Linked DNA regions of Caenorhabditis elegans. Each later gene encodes a partner of the first gene's protein in a complex. Each region holds a gene or a part of one and is shown in the gene's direction. Other genes may lie near its edges. The genes, in order: rpt-5 and rpn-13.

What was found.
Region 2: rpt-5 (region 1) and rpn-13 share a complex: the UniProt entries of both Caenorhabditis elegans proteins name them as parts of the 19S proteasome regulatory particle complex.

The regions. Positions count from the first base shown.
Region 1 is NC_003279.8:5,736,855-5,745,355, reverse strand, and holds rpt-5 (26S protease regulatory subunit 6A), read left to right. Parts: upstream 1-1,784; 5' UTR 1,785-1,801; coding exon 1,802-2,462; intron 2,463-2,554; coding exon 2,555-2,847; intron 2,848-2,911; coding exon 2,912-3,057; intron 3,058-3,112; coding exon 3,113-3,305; 3' UTR 3,306-3,488; downstream 3,489-8,501. Other genes in the region: rad-8 (Reticulon-4-interacting protein 1, mitochondrial), read right to left, coding at 1-37, 85-213, 260-398, 444-736, 790-978, 1,023-1,172; F56H1.10 (uncharacterized protein), read right to left, coding at 5,073-5,187, 5,244-5,357, 5,397-5,558, 5,693-5,853. UniProt on the Caenorhabditis elegans protein: Component of the 26S proteasome, a multiprotein complex involved in the ATP-dependent degradation of ubiquitinated proteins.
Region 2 is NC_003281.10:6,337,213-6,345,713, reverse strand, and holds rpn-13 (Proteasomal ubiquitin receptor ADRM1 homolog), read left to right. Parts: upstream 1-3,785; 5' UTR 3,786-3,790; coding exon 3,791-4,669; intron 4,670-4,715; coding exon 4,716-4,881; intron 4,882-4,926; coding exon 4,927-5,022; intron 5,023-5,253; coding exon 5,254-5,333; 3' UTR 5,334-5,601; downstream 5,602-8,501. Other genes in the region: C56G2.9 (DUF4604 domain-containing protein), read left to right, coding at 2,427-2,465, 2,543-2,633, 2,682-2,713, 2,766-2,958, 3,008-3,183; Very-long-chain 3-oxooacyl-coA reductase let-767, read left to right, coding at 5,759-5,804, 5,882-6,037, 6,212-6,561, 6,606-6,734, 6,784-7,116. UniProt on the Caenorhabditis elegans protein: May function as a proteasomal ubiquitin receptor. May promote the deubiquitinating activity associated with the 26S proteasome.

The DNA.
Region 1 (8,501 bases):
AGAAGGCGTATGAAAACCAACGACCTCGTAAGTGGCTCTGAAAAATATATTGTTATAGTTGCGGGTACATATTTCAAAAATTACTTGGAAAGATCTTTCAAAATGCTTCATCGCAGTCGTTACAAGACCTAACGGAACTCCATTTTTATCCATTTCTCTCATCAAAGGGGAGACAATTGATACGTGGACACAATTACGCCATACTCCCATAACCTGAAGTAGTTTTATACATTAATTTCCACTTCTCAATTATATTTACATTATCACTCCACTTTGCTAGCTGGGAATCGACAGTATCAAGAATAACTTCAAATGGTGCATGCTCAATCAATTCCTGAGTCGCCTGGTCTGATGTGTAGTCGACTGGAATTGCACCAAGTTGCTTCACAATATCGAAACTACAATTTTTATTTGAAAAATTGCAAAGATATAGATAATCTAACCTGCCCTTTGCACACGTTGCCACTATCTTTTCACATCCCCATGCTTTCAATAGCTGGATTGCCATACTTCCAACTCCTCCGGCTCCTCCATGAATCAAAACTCTTTGTTGTTTGGCATTTCGTTGTGAGACCCTGGCTATTGTAAAAGCTGAGTAGGCTGTCGATGCGACGTAAGGAAGTGCGGCAGCTGATACAAAGCTCAAATTGCTGGGCTTTTTAGAGCAATACTTCGAATCAGTGACAACAAACTCGGCATGTGTGCCTGGAAGAATTACAGGAACAACAGCCATAACCTGAAAACATACGATATTTAATCATGAATCGATGCATAATAGGATTTCGTTACCTCATCACCGGGAGCTAAATTGTGCACATCGCCACCAACAGATTCTACAACAGCTGTACAATCTCTTCCTGGAATTAGAGGGAATCTAGACGCGGCTGCATCACAGGACTCTATTTTTTTCCACGTCCCTAGGAATTCTCTACCGTATCCTTGAGACATGTCAACATCGATCGGATTAACAGACGCTGCCTACAAATATTTAAATTGCTTGAATCAAGAAATATTAATCTCACTTTAACTTTTAGAAGGACTTGTCCTGGTTTGTTTATGACTGGAAGCGGCACTTCTTTGAGCTCAACTCCAGATCCGTTTTCAGAGACCCATGCACGCATCGTTGATGATTTTGTTGAGAAAAATCTTCGTAGAATCATTTTTTCGATCATTTTGCTGAAAATTTCATGTGGAAATAACTTTTTTCTGATAAAAACAAATAAAACTGCACGAAGACTTCAAGTGTCGTAAAATTAAATGCCTTCTGTGTGGTTCACCGCGACGCTAAATTGCACAAATCATCCTTTTCAAAATTTCTCGTTCTTTTGGATTCTTTATCATTTACTGAAGGCTAAAAAGCTTATTATTGTTTTTTTTTAAGTTTATATTCAAAATTTTTTATCTTGAGAACTCATTAAAGATATTTTGAAGATAGTAACACAAATTTTAAACTTTTTTAAATAATATTTAGCTAGCCAAAACAGATTTTGTGGACGGAACGTAAACCTAATAGTAAGCTAAATACTGACGTAACCTTTGGGCCATCGTGAAATTATCAAGTCAAACTTTCTTTTATTCTAATCATTATTTCTCGTGATAAACACTTTCTCTCATTGTCACTCGCTCAATACACATTAGCGTTCGTTTAATTTTTTGAACTAAATATTCTCATTTACACCGCATTGTGTTACTGATTTTATTTTATTGTCCAGAACTTTGACTTTGCGTTATTCTCTGGAACTACTTTTCAGATCTCACCAGAAGCAATTACAACTAATTTTCAGGCCCCAGAAGCAGTACAATGTCGCAAACACCACCGCCAAAAGACGGAAAAAACCCAGAGGCAATGGAGGTGGAGGATGCTATTGATGAGGAGATTCTGAAAATGTCGACGGAAGATCTCAAAAGCCGTACCCACTTGTTGGACAACGAGATTCGTATTATGAGAAGTGAAGTTCAACGTATCAATCATTCTGCAACCACTCTCAAAGAACGGATCAAGGAGAATACTGAACGTATCAAAGTTAACAAAACTCTTCCGTACTTGGTGTCCAACGTTGTCGAACTTCTTGATCTCGAGGATAATACAGAAGAAGAAGGCGCAAATGTTGATCTCGATGCCCAAAAAACCAAGTGCGCAGTCATTAAGACTTCCACTCGTGCCACATATTTCTTACCAGTTGTTGGACTTGTCGATCCAGATGAGTTGAAGCCAGGAGATCTCGTTGGTGTCAATAAGGATTCATATTTGATTCTTGAAAAATTACCAGCAGAATATGATTCTCGTGTGAAGGCTATGGAAGTTGACGAACGGCCAACTGAACAATATTCCGATATCGGAGGATGTGACAAGCAAATTCAGGAGCTGATTGAAGCTGTTGTGCTTCCAATGACTCACAAGGATCGATTTGTTAATTTGGGTATTCATCCTCCAAAGGGTGTGCTCATGTATGGACCACCAGGTAAGATTACGAAAAATTTTTGATAAAGTAGTACTCCTAGAAAATAACCATTTTAATTACAACAGCTCAAGTGTAAATTATTCGTTTTTCAGGAACTGGTAAAACGATGATGGCCCGTGCGGTTGCTGCCCAAACTAAATCAACATTCTTGAAGCTCGCAGGCCCACAACTTGTTCAGATGTTCATTGGAGATGGAGCCAAGCTTGTTCGTGATGCTTTTGCTCTTGCTAAGGAAAAGGCTCCAGCTATTATTTTCATTGATGAGTTGGATGCCATTGGTACGAAGCGATTCGATTCAGAGAAAGCTGGAGATCGTGAAGTGCAACGTACCATGTTGGAACTTCTTAATCAACTTGATGGCTTCCAACCAAATGATGATATCAAGGTAAGCTGAGTTCCATTTTAAGTTATATTTTTAAGACGGTATAAGCTGTAAATATGAATTTAAGGTCATTGCTGCAACGAACCGTATCGATGTGCTCGATCCCGCTCTTCTTCGTTCTGGTCGTCTCGATCGTAAAATTGAGCTTCCCCATCCGAACGAGGATGCCCGTGCCAGAATCATGCAGATTCATTCCAGGAAGATGAATGTCAAGTATGTTTTCGCGACAGTTTTATTTGTAAAATTTAGTCTAATTAATTTTTTTCAGCAAGGATGTAAACTTTGAAGAACTGGCCCGCTGTACCGATGACTTCAACGGAGCACAATGCAAAGCGGTTTGTGTTGAAGCTGGAATGATTGCTCTTCGACGAGATGCTACTGAGATTCTTCATGAAGACTTTATGGATGCTATTCTGGAGGTCCAGGCAAAGAAAAAGGCGTCCCTCAATTACTACGCTTAATCCTTCACTCCCGGTTGTCACTGTGTTCCCTTTGAATCGCTCCCGAATTTTCTCACGCGATTTTTTCTTACTTTCATCTTTCGTATTCTATTCCCACCCCTCTCCTGTTTTTATTGATTCATCCTCGAAGTGCGTGGATTCCTAATTTATTTCCGATCAATGTGCATAAATGGTCACTCTTCGAAATGTGTTTCTTTCACTGTTTCAACATTCTGCGTGCTCTTCAAACATTTAGCGAGACATCTCAAATTGTAACTTGACCGATCCAGAAGTCAGTACTGACGTCAGTGAAACGTATGCAGAGAAAAGCTAAAGTGCAATCGCGCCCCAGTGCCAAATGGAAACGCTCCGCCTCTTTCATTTGGGTCTCGTTAGATAGAAAGTATTTTCTTTTTTGAAAATATTTATCAATTGAAATATCTTTACAATTACTGTTATCAATTTCATTATTGAATAATGCGAAGTGTATCAGATAATTATTTAGTAGTTGCACATGAAATTGGGGATCCTGTAAGCATCGAATCTTCGGAACCAACACCTCTTTTGAACCACTCTCCATCGATGCAGAAAAGTTCGGAAAGTATAAAGGGATTTTTCTCGAGCTGTAAATATTTGTATTTCATTGATTATCTTTCTGAAATAATTTTAATCTTACAGGTGGTGTATCTGTTACCAATTCTTTTGTCTTATGACTATATGCTACTACTTTTGATTGCGGAGGACACAAAGCAGAAATTGCATTACAATCTGGATAAGTGATCTCAGGTCGATTGAAAACAAAATGAGAATAATTATTGTAGACACGTTCATTTGTCTTTTTGAGCCATTCACTGTCAAAAGTTGGCCGTAAGATGCACCCACATCCTGAAAATTCGAATTATTGATTATTCAATCTTTTAAAACATTATTGTGATTTTTTATCGTATTTTCACAAGATTTTGGCAAGCTTTCTATAAGGCGCACGGATTTATTCTGATGGGTGGTAACGCGCCAAAAGGTTTATGGTAGTTATTTTCAAGCAATTTTGCGGCGGTTTTCTATTCACGATAACTAAAACATAAATGAATAAATACATTAAAAAAATTACAGGTTGTTCTAAATTTGTTGATATCTTAATTTTTTTTTAAACTTGCCTATCTAAAAAATTATTTAAAAACTCAAACGCATGTTCAAAACTGAAAGATTTTTGAAGGGGGTTCTCAAAACGTATAGGAATTCATAATATTTTGAAATAGATATTTTAATAGATTAAAAGGCAAAAATCACGAAGAAAAAGAGTATATTAAAATTCAAATCTTGTGGTGTTTCCAGCCGAGAAAGTATTTATATTTCAGATAATAAAGTATGGGACACCTGAGAGTCATTCAAAGCTGGGAGAGAAAAAAAACTGAATGGCTAATAAAAAAGTGGAAACAAATTTTCTGCCTAGATAGTCCTTTAAAAAAATTATGTGCTTGATTGAAGCTCCTGAAATATTTGTAGTAGAATTCGTAAAATATAATTCTGCTCAAAATACCAGGCTGAAATTCAGAAGTATTGCAAGGGAAAAACGAAACAAATTAAGAAAGAATATAAATTCCAAGATTTGAAAACATCTATCTTCAAATTAAGTTTCCACTAAATTGAGAACTGCAAGACCAATAGTCCCAATCAGATTAAGTGTACTGAGTTAAACTGGTTTGAGTTCCCATTAACAGTACTACTCTATATTCAAAGAAATTTTTCTGCACTGAAATAAAAAAAAAACAAAACTATTTCAAACAAAATTCATTGATCATATCTTCCATTTAACATTTGACCATTCCATAGTTCGCTACCTTCCCAACGTGGACTGCATGCTCTCATTCTTCCTTGATCTTTCAGCTTATCAGTAATGAATATCCTATAAATTATATATTTTTTTGTCAATTGACCCTATTGAAATTTTAAAATGCTCACTCATTTTTAGAAATCGTCGTATTGTAATAGAGAGAAGTTTCAAAACATCGAATTTTCCTATTGGAACTACAATCGTGAGAGATTTGCACGAACATTGTCAAATTTTCCTGTAAACTTGAAAGTCATGCATAGTTTTTTAAAATTAAAACTAACTGGTTTCTCAATACTTTCCGAAATTTAATCGGTGGTATGCCAACTCGAACGCGATGCTTTTCGCCTTCCGGATAAAAATAATCCTTATTTTCAAGTTCTCTTGAAAAATGAATTAAGTCAGTGATAATACATCGTGAGTGATTTCTGAGAAGTTGTTCGTACCTAAATATTTGTTTTAAGATTCACTGTTACTTGTGGATTTAGTTCTCTTCAAAAAATCATCTGGAATACTACGCTGATTGGTCCTACTAATTTTTGGAAATAAAAGCCATAGAAATATTTTACAATAAACTCACATAGGCTCATCTTCAAAAACTTCGATGAAAACGCAGACACGTGGTATATCACTACCACCAAAATCACATTCCATATCAATTTTAATCGATAATTCATTGCAATACATGGCCAAGATGGTGATTAGAATAATGATTCCATTGAGATATTGAGAAGAATTCATAATTGTCAAACGACAAAGTAAAACGAGAAATGGAAAATGTTTAGCGAAATGATATTTGGAAATTGAAAAAGTGGAAATTTTAATTTTGATAAATTATTTATTGAACTTAATTTGTTTTAATAGATTGTGAAAAACAGAAAGAATTGGAGAATAGAGCAAGTGCCCAGTATTGATTAAAGTATGCAATTATATTGATCACGACGTCAAAGCTTTCATACTTTCAGCCTCTTCACTTGACAAACTCGAATGTGCCTAAACCATGTTGTCTTCAGACTGAAAAGTAAATGACTAAAATTTCAACAAAAATGGCAACAATGCAAAAACCTACCTTATCATATACTGATGGTGTCTCCAATTTTTTAGACGGCTTGAGACTTTTGCTTCGTTTTTGATGCTTTTTATTTTTTGCCGAATGACGCTGTTTGCCAGGAGGAACACCTGAAACTTATGAAGTTTGTTATGCAAATAAAGAAGCTACAATGTTTTTTGAGCATCAAATTTTCACGAATATAATATTGGGCACAAAAATCGGACTTACTTTCAAGTGTCATACCAATTTCCAAGCATTGCTGATATCTGCATGCTTCACACTTTTTCCATTCCTTCACATCCTTTCGACAAAATCCTTTACGCTGACATTTCAGTTCTTTTTCATTTCTAACAACATCAAAGAAAGCCTCCGTACAACTATTGCATATTCTAAATATTTTTCTAAATTGCAGGTTAACACATCAATTAAATTATAGAGTGTAGAGTTTGAAGACACTTATTGGGCAAAAAGTGGGATTTTCATTTTGGAGAAAATTAAAACAGGAATAGGAGCTAAATTTGGGAAATAACGTTTTCGTAGGTAGATTTAATTTGACTGTTATTCCGACAGATTAGAACATTTAAAGTATAATGATGTGAAATTCCCACGAACGCAATTCCGCCAAAAATCATTTCACAGACTATATATTTTTAAAAATCTTACCTCATAGTTTTCTTAAACGCATGTCCACGTCCAACGTTCAATACAATATCCCAAGATTGATGTCAGCAAAATAAAGACCACGATTGCTGCTGCACCACCAACATAAGCCCAATCAATTGATTCTTCTTTCGATTCCAAAAATCTCAAGAACTCTTCTTGCAAGTCTACCATATCCGATGGAGTTTTCACGAAATTAGTATAAACAAGATCCCAGTTGATTCCAAATAATCTTTCAAGTACTCCTAATGATGTTTCCATGTCTTTCATGGGAACTTCTAGGTATCTCAAAGATTCTCTCATTTTTCTAAAATCAAATTGCATTGAAAATGGAATATTTGAGACTTCTTTGTAAATTGATCCAATTTGTGAAAGGTTTTTCTCAGTTCTGACAGATATCATAAAATCATCCAGTTTCATTTTATTACTTCTAAATTTCTCCAGGCTTTTCTTCAACTCCGGATATTTGCTCCAAGTCTCTTCAATCTCTTGTTTAATTTTCAGATGAGTTATATTCTTGATAGCTCCTAGAACAGCTTCACCGTTATTGATCACAGTTTCCAAGTGTTCACTAATATTTGAAATCTTACTAATAGTTTCCAGAGAATATGCAGCAAATGCAAAGTTTAGCAGTTTTTCTGGAGTTCCTTCGAATTTCTTAGACATTGGAAATGATACATGTTTTCTATCAGATGTAATCAGTAAGTTCCTCAAACCTGCTCGGAGCCGTGGGACATGCTCAAGAATCTGTCGTAGGCTAGCAATGTGAATATCAGATTCCAAACGGGAAACACGTTTTTGAACCAGACTAATATCATTAATATCATCAAGTTTAAAAAGTGAATCACATGATTTTTCGTAGAGATTTGTGTTGTGAATCCATGATATAACTTTGCTCTCTTTCTCTCCGGCGTTGGCTAAATCAGCAAACAATTGAGTATCTTTTTGAACCAATAATTCATAGAAATCGGTTAAATTTTGGAACAATTCTCTCGTTTGGGGGAGATAAGCAAACGTTTGCTGGTCCATCCAGGTAGATCCCGGGTTTGTTGAAATAGATTCAGCGTATGTTAACATGTTTCTTTTTGCCTCATAGACATCATATGGAAAACTTTCTAAAATCTTCATAACCTTTCGAGTCGGATTGGGTATTTTTTCAATAGTTGACGATAAACTCTGAATTTCAGCAAAAGAGTACGGCATTTCAAGTGAAGAAATATTCAAACAATCAATGTATTTTATTGTGTTCAATTCACTCAAGAATGTTCGAAAAGTCTTGATTCTACTGATAATGTCAAGAACATTTTCTAGACTGTCAGATACTCCTCGATCTTTGAACACACTCAAGTCTAATCTTGCATCGTGCAATAATTCCTTGAAACGATTCGTTTGTAACTCAATCTCTTGAGTTTCATCATTCAAAACAGTCTTTATCCATTCATCAATCCAGAAGTCTGAAGAATTTTGTTTTGAAATAAAAAGAGGTGCAATCAGAATAGTAGAAGAAGCCTGCTCATTGAATTCTTGAAAGATTGCTTGAATTTCTCGTAGAATCTTTTCGATTCCAGTCAACTGAGATATGTTGTAAAATGATTGAAGTTCCGGCGATAAGTTTTGAAAATTCGAAAACAGAGTTGAGAGTCGGCGGAAGTCACTAGCTTGATCAAAAACTTTTTTG
Region 2 (8,501 bases), on another chromosome or scaffold:
AGGTGGCGCTCCTGCCATTTTTTGCCGCTTTGTTCGAAGGTCAGAAGGCTAATGAGGAGTGTGGAGCTCCATGAATTTTAGGAAGAATATTGAATAACAATTTACTATGAAAAAGTTATAAAATTGGCAGCTTATTGTGAAACTTGAGATTACAGAAAGCGGATTAGAGAACAGATCCTGATAAAAATTAAACTCACTTTTCAAATGTGCAAACGTTTAGTTTTATTGTACAGAAAACTATTTAAATTTGTTTTAAAACTGTTTTTTAGGATTTTGATCAAGGAATTCCGTTTAAATTACTTCAAAATCTGACAATGTTGAGAAAATGAAAACTAAAGCTAACGAAAACTTCACAAGAAACAAATTTCGGAGGAGGAAAAACATTTAAAGTTTCAGTTTACATAAATGTTCTCGAATGCAAAAATCTATATAAGAATATAGCAATATGAAATCGATTTTCGTGGACTTTAAGGATTTCATGGTAACTTGAGCTCGTGATAAGTTTGAACTATGATCGCTCATTGAAAGAATCCTAAAATTATTGTTCCCAAATTCTTGCCGTTTTCATGAGAAGCGAAAGAAAAATGAATGAAACAAAAGAAAAGCGACAAATCGACATTAAAATTTTAGAAATTTTCAAATGTTCAGTTTAAAAAAAAACAGTGGAAAAACAAGAGGAAATCAGTTAAAATTCAGGGTTTGTCTGAGAGTCAGTAGCAGAGAAAAGTGAAATAGTGTGGGAAACGAAGAGAGTCATACAAAGGGCAGATGGTGTAAACATTCGATTCGACGGCAGATTGCACACAAAAACTTACCGTAGTCAAGCGTGAGAACTTTGGCAAACAATTTTTTCTTGAATCGGATGGGAAATGATCACGCAAAACTGACTCTGTTTACTTATTTACACGAACGCTTGAAAATTATTGAAATAAAATGTCTATCGATCGATTTTTGAATGATCAAATTCACGTTGAAAATAAAAAATAAATTGTTGACAATAAATGTGTTAAGAGAAAATTCTCACGCAAACAAGATCACGTGGTGGGAATTATGTTGTTGTCGGTTTCTTTAAAAACTGAATGTTGGAGGACAACTATACAATTTTATCGTATTTACCTAAACTATTTAAACTGATACGATTTCTAAAATTAAGATTATTTTAGAGAATTCTCGGAATAATATCTCTCGCGAAAAGAACTTCGAGTTGTTTTAAAAATTAAAGTTATGAATTTAAATATTCTGATTAAATTCCTAAAGTTTGAATTTAAAAAATAAAACATGAAGTAAGAAAAGGAACATGGAAATAATCGGATTTTTATTTAGAAGGATTTTTTCATTTACCTGTGTCGGTTTAGGCGGAGTACGGTATTATATTTTAAGATTCAGTTATTATATTGCACCAGAATAAGAAGTATTGCACACTCTAATTGGACATATAACAATGAAAACCTGAAAAAATTTATCTACTTTTTCCTCAATCTCCCACGTCTCTACATTACCTTAACCCCTACCAAGAAGTGCGATTTTCAGACTGCTGCTTCTCCTCATTTTTTCTGTTTTTATGTATATCCTTTGCCAGATTTTCTTTCCTATTTCTCACAATAAGTCAGTTACCATGGAAATCGTCGGTGAAGGAGCTCCAATAAAAATCCGAGAATTTGATTATGGCTCCGTTGACTCCCACGCCGGCAAACAAGCGCTTATCCGAAGAAGCTGAACCAATCACTCACACGGCTACTTCTTGACGACGACGAGGACTGATTAGCTTTTCAGTTTGAGCTACTGAAATTTTTTCGGGTTATCCCATTCTGCTTTAAAATTTTCTTAATTCAAGTTTGAGAACGGGCTTATTCTTGTGGGTCTTCCCACGATCAATCCAGGAAGAGAATGACAAGAGTCTTCAAAGCCACATTCCATGACCCTAGAAGGACTTAAAAATATAAATATTGAAAAGAACCCAATAGTAATTTTAAACGAGACAGGCTTCTTTCGTATATTTGCATCCTCGTAAAGTCTTTTTTGTTGGACAATTTCTTATTTAAAAAAATCACCAAAATTTTCTGAATGTTTTTCAGACTGAGTAGGACATTATTTTTTAAACTTCTATCATAAATCTCGTGTAGTTTCATGAAAAACTCCCACCCATTTTCCCACTGTCATGAGTCAACGGGAAAGCAAAATTCGAGTACAAATTAGTGTTCTCCATTTAATTTGTGGCGTTCAACACATAACTCGTTCGCCCCTTCATTTTTTCTTCTATTCTTGGTAGTCGCGTATCACTTCTTATTCTGATCAAATAAATTTTTTACAAAAAAATTAGAGCTGAGCATTCAGATTTAATTATTTTTCTCAATATCGTGAGAAAAGGTTTATTCAATTTTGCTTCAGCCACTTGCTACAAACTACACCATCTAACGGCTAACACCATGTTCAGCGAGCATAAGAAGAAGCAGGAAGAAGCAAAGGTTTGTTCTTATCTGTATTCAAAAACGAACCGTTACCCGACAAGGTTACGAATTTCAATCAGAAAAAAATGTTCCAGAGAACCGAGAAGAATGGAGAATTGATCTTCGATGACCTGGATGCAAAAACTCGTGATCTGAAACTATCGGATCAGGCAAAAAACGACAAAAGTGAGTTAAACCGAAGGAAAAGTGTTCATAAAATCATCAATCTATCAGAGTACATGTCGGAGATGGAGACCAAGAACCCGGTAAGTCAATTTTTAATTTGTTGAAAAAATAGTTGATTATCTGAAATTTTAGAAAAGAAAATCTATCAAGAAAAGCGACCAAAAACCGTCAACGATGTCGCTGAATGTAGGAAAGGGTGGTGTGGAGAAAGAGAAGGAAACGATTTCCTCGCAGCGGAGCAATAGTTTGGAATCTCCAGGACTAGGAAGTCCCCAAAATGTTGGTCTCGGGATCTTTGAGGCAGCAACTATGATGCGCAACATCGGTAGATCTTTAAAAAAAAGTCACGTAGACATCTAAAATTACTTTTTAAGTTGACATCACAACCGACTCGACCACTATGAAGACGGGTAAAACGAAAACATTGAAATCAAAGGAAAGCAAGACCTCACTTGGTTCGGCAAGTGGGCCATTCTCTCAGATGAAGGAGGCTCAGGAGATGAAGAAAAAGAGCAAAAACAGCTTTGAACTGGATGATATTGACAACTAAACTAATATGTTTTAATACTCATCGTGTATACCCAGTGAATTTGTTTTAAAAATACTAATACTAATCGGTAATTGGCATTCTCAAATTTTGCAGAGACCGATTTTGTCAAAATAATGTATTGAATAAAGTGGTTTGATTTTTAAGATATTGGGTAAAAAAATAATGAGGCAAATTCGTCTTAAAACGAGCGGAGGACAAGTTAAATACAGAAAAATAGAACACAAAACGTGACAAAATATCGCATGTACGGTGTGCATTCGGAAACAGCGTTTTGTACGCAAGCACTGAACACCACGAGCAAATGCACCACGAGAAAAGTCATCCTTTTTTAGCCAAATTTGGAACAATATTGTTAACAATTGTTTCTTCAATTCGAGTTATCTTTTAAATATTAAAAAAGACATTATATTTTTACTAGTTATTTGAATTTAATTTTTTTTGACGGGAAATAATTTGTTTCTGTCCGACATGTTACTTTCCAAATCAATTATCAATACTTCAGTTTATTTGTGATATTCATTCCTCGTAATTTTGCAAGTTTGTTCTCTATTTTTTCATCTTGGTATTTTCAGCTTCCTTATCAAACATTCATTTATTTATTTCAGAGATGGCTGCTATGTTCAGTAATACTCGCTCGGTCGCTTCCTCTTCTGGCCATATTGTCGAATTCAAAGCTGGACGCTCTCGCCTTGAAGCTGGATCCGGAGATACTATGAGAAAAGTTGTTGCTGAACCCAAAAAGGGATTGGTATTCATTAAGCAAAGTAACGACATGCTCATCCACTTTTGCTGGAAGGATCGTGAAACTGGCGCAGTTGTTGATGACCTCATAATCTTCCCCGATGACGCTGAATTCAAAGCTGTTCCTGGATGCCCTGATGGCAAAGTGTATATGCTCAAGTTCAAATCTGGAGATATGAAGCTTTTTTGGATTCAAGATTCAACACCAGACGTTGACAAGGATCTTGTGAAGAAGGTCACTGACGCTCTGAACAAGCCGCCGACATCTCGTCCAGCTGCTTCCCGATCGGCTGGTTCTAACGCAAACACTGATCGTCAGTCTGCTGGAGGATCACTTATCTCTAGCTCAGACATGAATGCTCCCCTTGGAGGCATCGATCAAGGGCAATTGATGTCATTGATTCAATCTCTGCAAGGCGGAAACTCTGACACTCTTCCAATTTCTTCCGTGCCTCGAGGAGAGGACGCATCGTCAGAAGCAGACTGCGAGCCTTCGACGAATGCAGCTGAGGAAGGATCTTCAAATCCACTTTCCTTGAATAACCCGGCGATTCAACAAATCTTCAACAACTTGGGACGCTCACAAAAGAAAGAGGTGGCAGTCTCTCTGGCAACTGCTCTGTCGAATGAAACGGTTGCTGAAGTTGCTCGTAACCACGCTGAAGAGCTCGCACCGCATCTTCCAACTTCTGATGATCCAGCCCGGGAGCTTTCTGAGACAGTCAGAACTCCGCAATTCAGACAAGTTGGTTTTTAAAGCATATTATATTTTAACTGTTCTCTATTTTCAGGCTGCTGATACACTTGGACATGCACTTCAAACTGGTCAACTCGGGCCAGTAGTTGCACAGTTCGGAATGGATGAAGCCACAGTTGGCTCCGCGAATCAAGGTGATATTCGTGGTTTTGCTGCTAATCTCACAAAGGCTGAGGGAGGAGAAGATGCTGCCAAGACTCGTAAGTTTACTTGAAATTCTGAAACATAGTCTCACGTTCGTTCAGCACGGGTTGATAACCCGATCTGCCGGAGAGCTGTGATGCCGTCCGCTTATCTCGGCTTCTTTTCCCCCTCAATTGCGGCAACGGTGTCTCGGCTAGGTACGGCGCACTCTCAGTTGTTGAGTTTTTACTCATTTTTGAATATGTCACTAATTGTGATTGTCCTTTTGTTTCCTTTCGCACTATGACCATTGCGCCATTCCTTGTAAAATTTTGCTGCTCTTAACACTTAACACCTATCCATTTGCTATTTCAAAAACAATTTTTACAGTACCGTAAACCTCTGTACTTTTGATAAAAACATCAATAACCATTGTTAATTGTTTGCAGAAAACTCGGACGATGACGCCACTCGCGAACCAGAGCCAAAGCGCAACCGTCCAGACAACGAAGATATGGATGTCGATTAAACTCTCTGAATAAACAAATTCTTCATCACTTTTGTGCATATTCCCCCTTAAACTGTGTTCTCCGTGTTCCTCTTTTTCCGACTCGTCCCTTTAGTATTTCTTCATCATGCCAGAAATGGTGTGATAAGATAGTAGAGCGATGTTTATCGACCACTTCTCTTCGCTCTCTTTCATTTATTCGACCTTCAAGACGTCCCCATTTTTATTCCATTTCGAGAACTTATTTATTCATTGTAAAGTACTGCAAATAAACCCTTTTTACCATCAATTTGAAAGTTTCGGAAAGAACTCGTAATAGTAGCGATTAGTTTTATATTTTTCAAAGTTTATTGGAGTGCATGAGTTTCAAAAAAGTAAAAACGTGACCTCATGAAAATTTTTAGTTTTCATATGTTTTCGTCATAAATAAATAGTTACAAGAAATAATGGAGTCGTCTGACAATTTACATGATATAGATAATCTTGAAAACGGTAAATAAATAGTGTATAATTTATGCACCTTGCATCTTTTCTGCCTGTTATTTCCATTGAAATTCTGTAAATTCCAGGTAACATGGCTTGCCAGTGCTTCTTGGTTGGAGCCGGATACGTGGCTCTTGCAGCTGTGGCTTATCGTCTTTTGACGATTTTCTCGAATATTTTGGGCCCATACGTTCTTCTGTCGCCAATCGATTTGAAGAAAAGAGCTGGAGCTTCTTGGGCTGGTTCGTTTCTATATTTTTACTCTGGTGATGTCTTATCGTATAGCACTCAGAGAACTACTTTTGGTTCTCTGGAACTGTTATCATTTTCAATTGATAATAAAATTGCAATGAAAAAATTGTTGCGTAAATATAAAATAATTGTTTTGAATTTCAAACAAAAAATACATTTTTCAGTTGTCACCGGAGCCACTGACGGAATCGGAAAAGCATACGCCTTCGAATTGGCTCGTCGTGGATTCAATGTCCTGCTCGTTTCGCGTACCCAATCAAAACTCGATGAGACGAAGAAGGAGATTCTCGAGAAGTATTCCAGCATTGAGGTCCGCACTGCCGCCTTCGACTTCACCAACGCTGCTCCTTCTGCTTACAAAGATCTTCTCGCCACCTTGAACCAAGTAGAGATCGGAGTTCTTATTAACAACGTTGGAATGAGCTACGAATATCCAGATGTACTTCACAAAGTTGACGGTGGAATCGAGCGTCTTGCAAACATCACCACCATCAACACTCTTCCACCAACATTGGTGAGTTTTATTAGAATTGTACTATTGTGATCTTACTGAAAAAGTTCTTAACTCAGCTCTCCGCCGGAATCCTTCCACAAATGGTCGCACGAAAGGCTGGAGTCATTGTTAATGTTGGATCTTCAGCTGGAGCAAATCAAATGGCTCTCTGGGCTGTGTATTCAGCTACAAAGGTTTGAATTTCAAAATATCTTCCGTCTTTTAATTATAATTTTATTCCAGAAGTATGTCTCCTGGCTCACCGCTATCCTCCGAAAAGAATATGAACATCAAGGAATCACTGTCCAAACTATTGCTCCAATGATGGTCGCCACAAAGATGTCAAAAGTCAAGAGAACTTCATTCTTCACTCCAGACGGAGCCGTGTTCGCTAAATCAGCTCTGAACACTGTTGGAAATACCTCAGACACCACCGGATACATCACGCATCAACTTCAACTCGAGCTCATGGATCTCATTCCAACATTCATCCGCGACAAGATCCTCACAAATATGAGTGTCGGAACTCGTGCTGCTGCTCTCAGAAAGAAGGAAAGAGAAGCCAAATCTCAGTAATTTCTCGACGTTATTTTGTAGAATCTAAATCAGTCCAATCCATTCAATTATTGCTATTTATTTATGTTATATAAAGTTTTTGTTTTTACTAAAACTGTTCGAAAGAAGGAAAAAAACTTTCCCTAACATTACAGTAACCCAACAATGCTTCACGCAATGGTTTTTATTGTTTAAGAAAACACTGGAAAAACAGCAGAGAATAATGTTCTAAAATGGGTGTAAAATGAATAGAACCCCGAAGAGACAAAAAACAAAATATTAAACCCAGTAGGCTACAACTCGGAAATTTTTTGAATTTTTTTCGGAAATTTTTAGAATTTTTTTCGGAAATTTTTTGAAATTTTTCGGAAATTTTTAGAATTTTTTTCGGAAATTTTTTCGGAAATTTTTTGAATTTTTTCTGAAATTTTTTGAAACTTTTCATCAACAAGTAGGCCATGACCAAATTTTTAAATAGGTCAAATAAAAAAATAGGTCATGACCTAATTTTTAAATAGGTGAAATTAAAAATAGGTCATGACCTAATTTTTAAATAGGCCAAATTAAAAAATAGGTCATGACATACTTTTTAAGTAGGCCAAATTAAAAAATAGGTCATGACCTACTTTTTAAGTAGGTCAAATTAAAAATAGGTCATGACCTAATTTTTAAATAGGTCAAATTAAAAAATAGGTCATGACCTACTGTATAAGTAGGTCAAATTAAAAAATAGGTCATGACCTAATTTTTAAATAGGTCAAATTAAAAATAGGTCATGACCTAATTTTTAAATAGGTCAAATTAAAAATTAGGTCATGACCTAATTTTTAAATAGGTCAAATTAAAAATTAGGTCATGACCTAATTTTTAAATAGGTCAAATTAAAAAATAGGTCATGACCTACTTTTTAACGTGACTTTTAACGTGAAAACAGGTCAGTAAAGTAAAAAGTAAGTCACGTTAAAAAGTAGTTATGACCTATAATTTCCAAAACATTTCCGAAAAAATTTCCCAAAAAAATTTCGGAAAAATTTAAATAAAATTCAGAAAAAAATTCGGGAAATTTTTTGAATTTTTTTCGGAAATTTTTTGAAATTTTTCGGAAATTTTTCGAATTTTTTTCGGAAATTTTTTCGGAAATGTTTTGAATTTTTTCTGAAATTTTTTGAAACTTTTCATCAACAAGTAGGCCATGACCTGATTTTTAAGTAGGTCACGTCAAAAAGTAGGTCACGTTAAAAAGTAGGTCATGACCTAATTTTTAAATAGGTCAAATTAAAAATAGGTCATGACCTAATTTTTAAATAGGTGAAATTAAAAAATAGGTCATGACCTACTTTTTAAGTAGGTCAAATTAAAAAATGGGTCATGACCTACTTTTTAAGTAGGTCAAATTGAAAAATAGG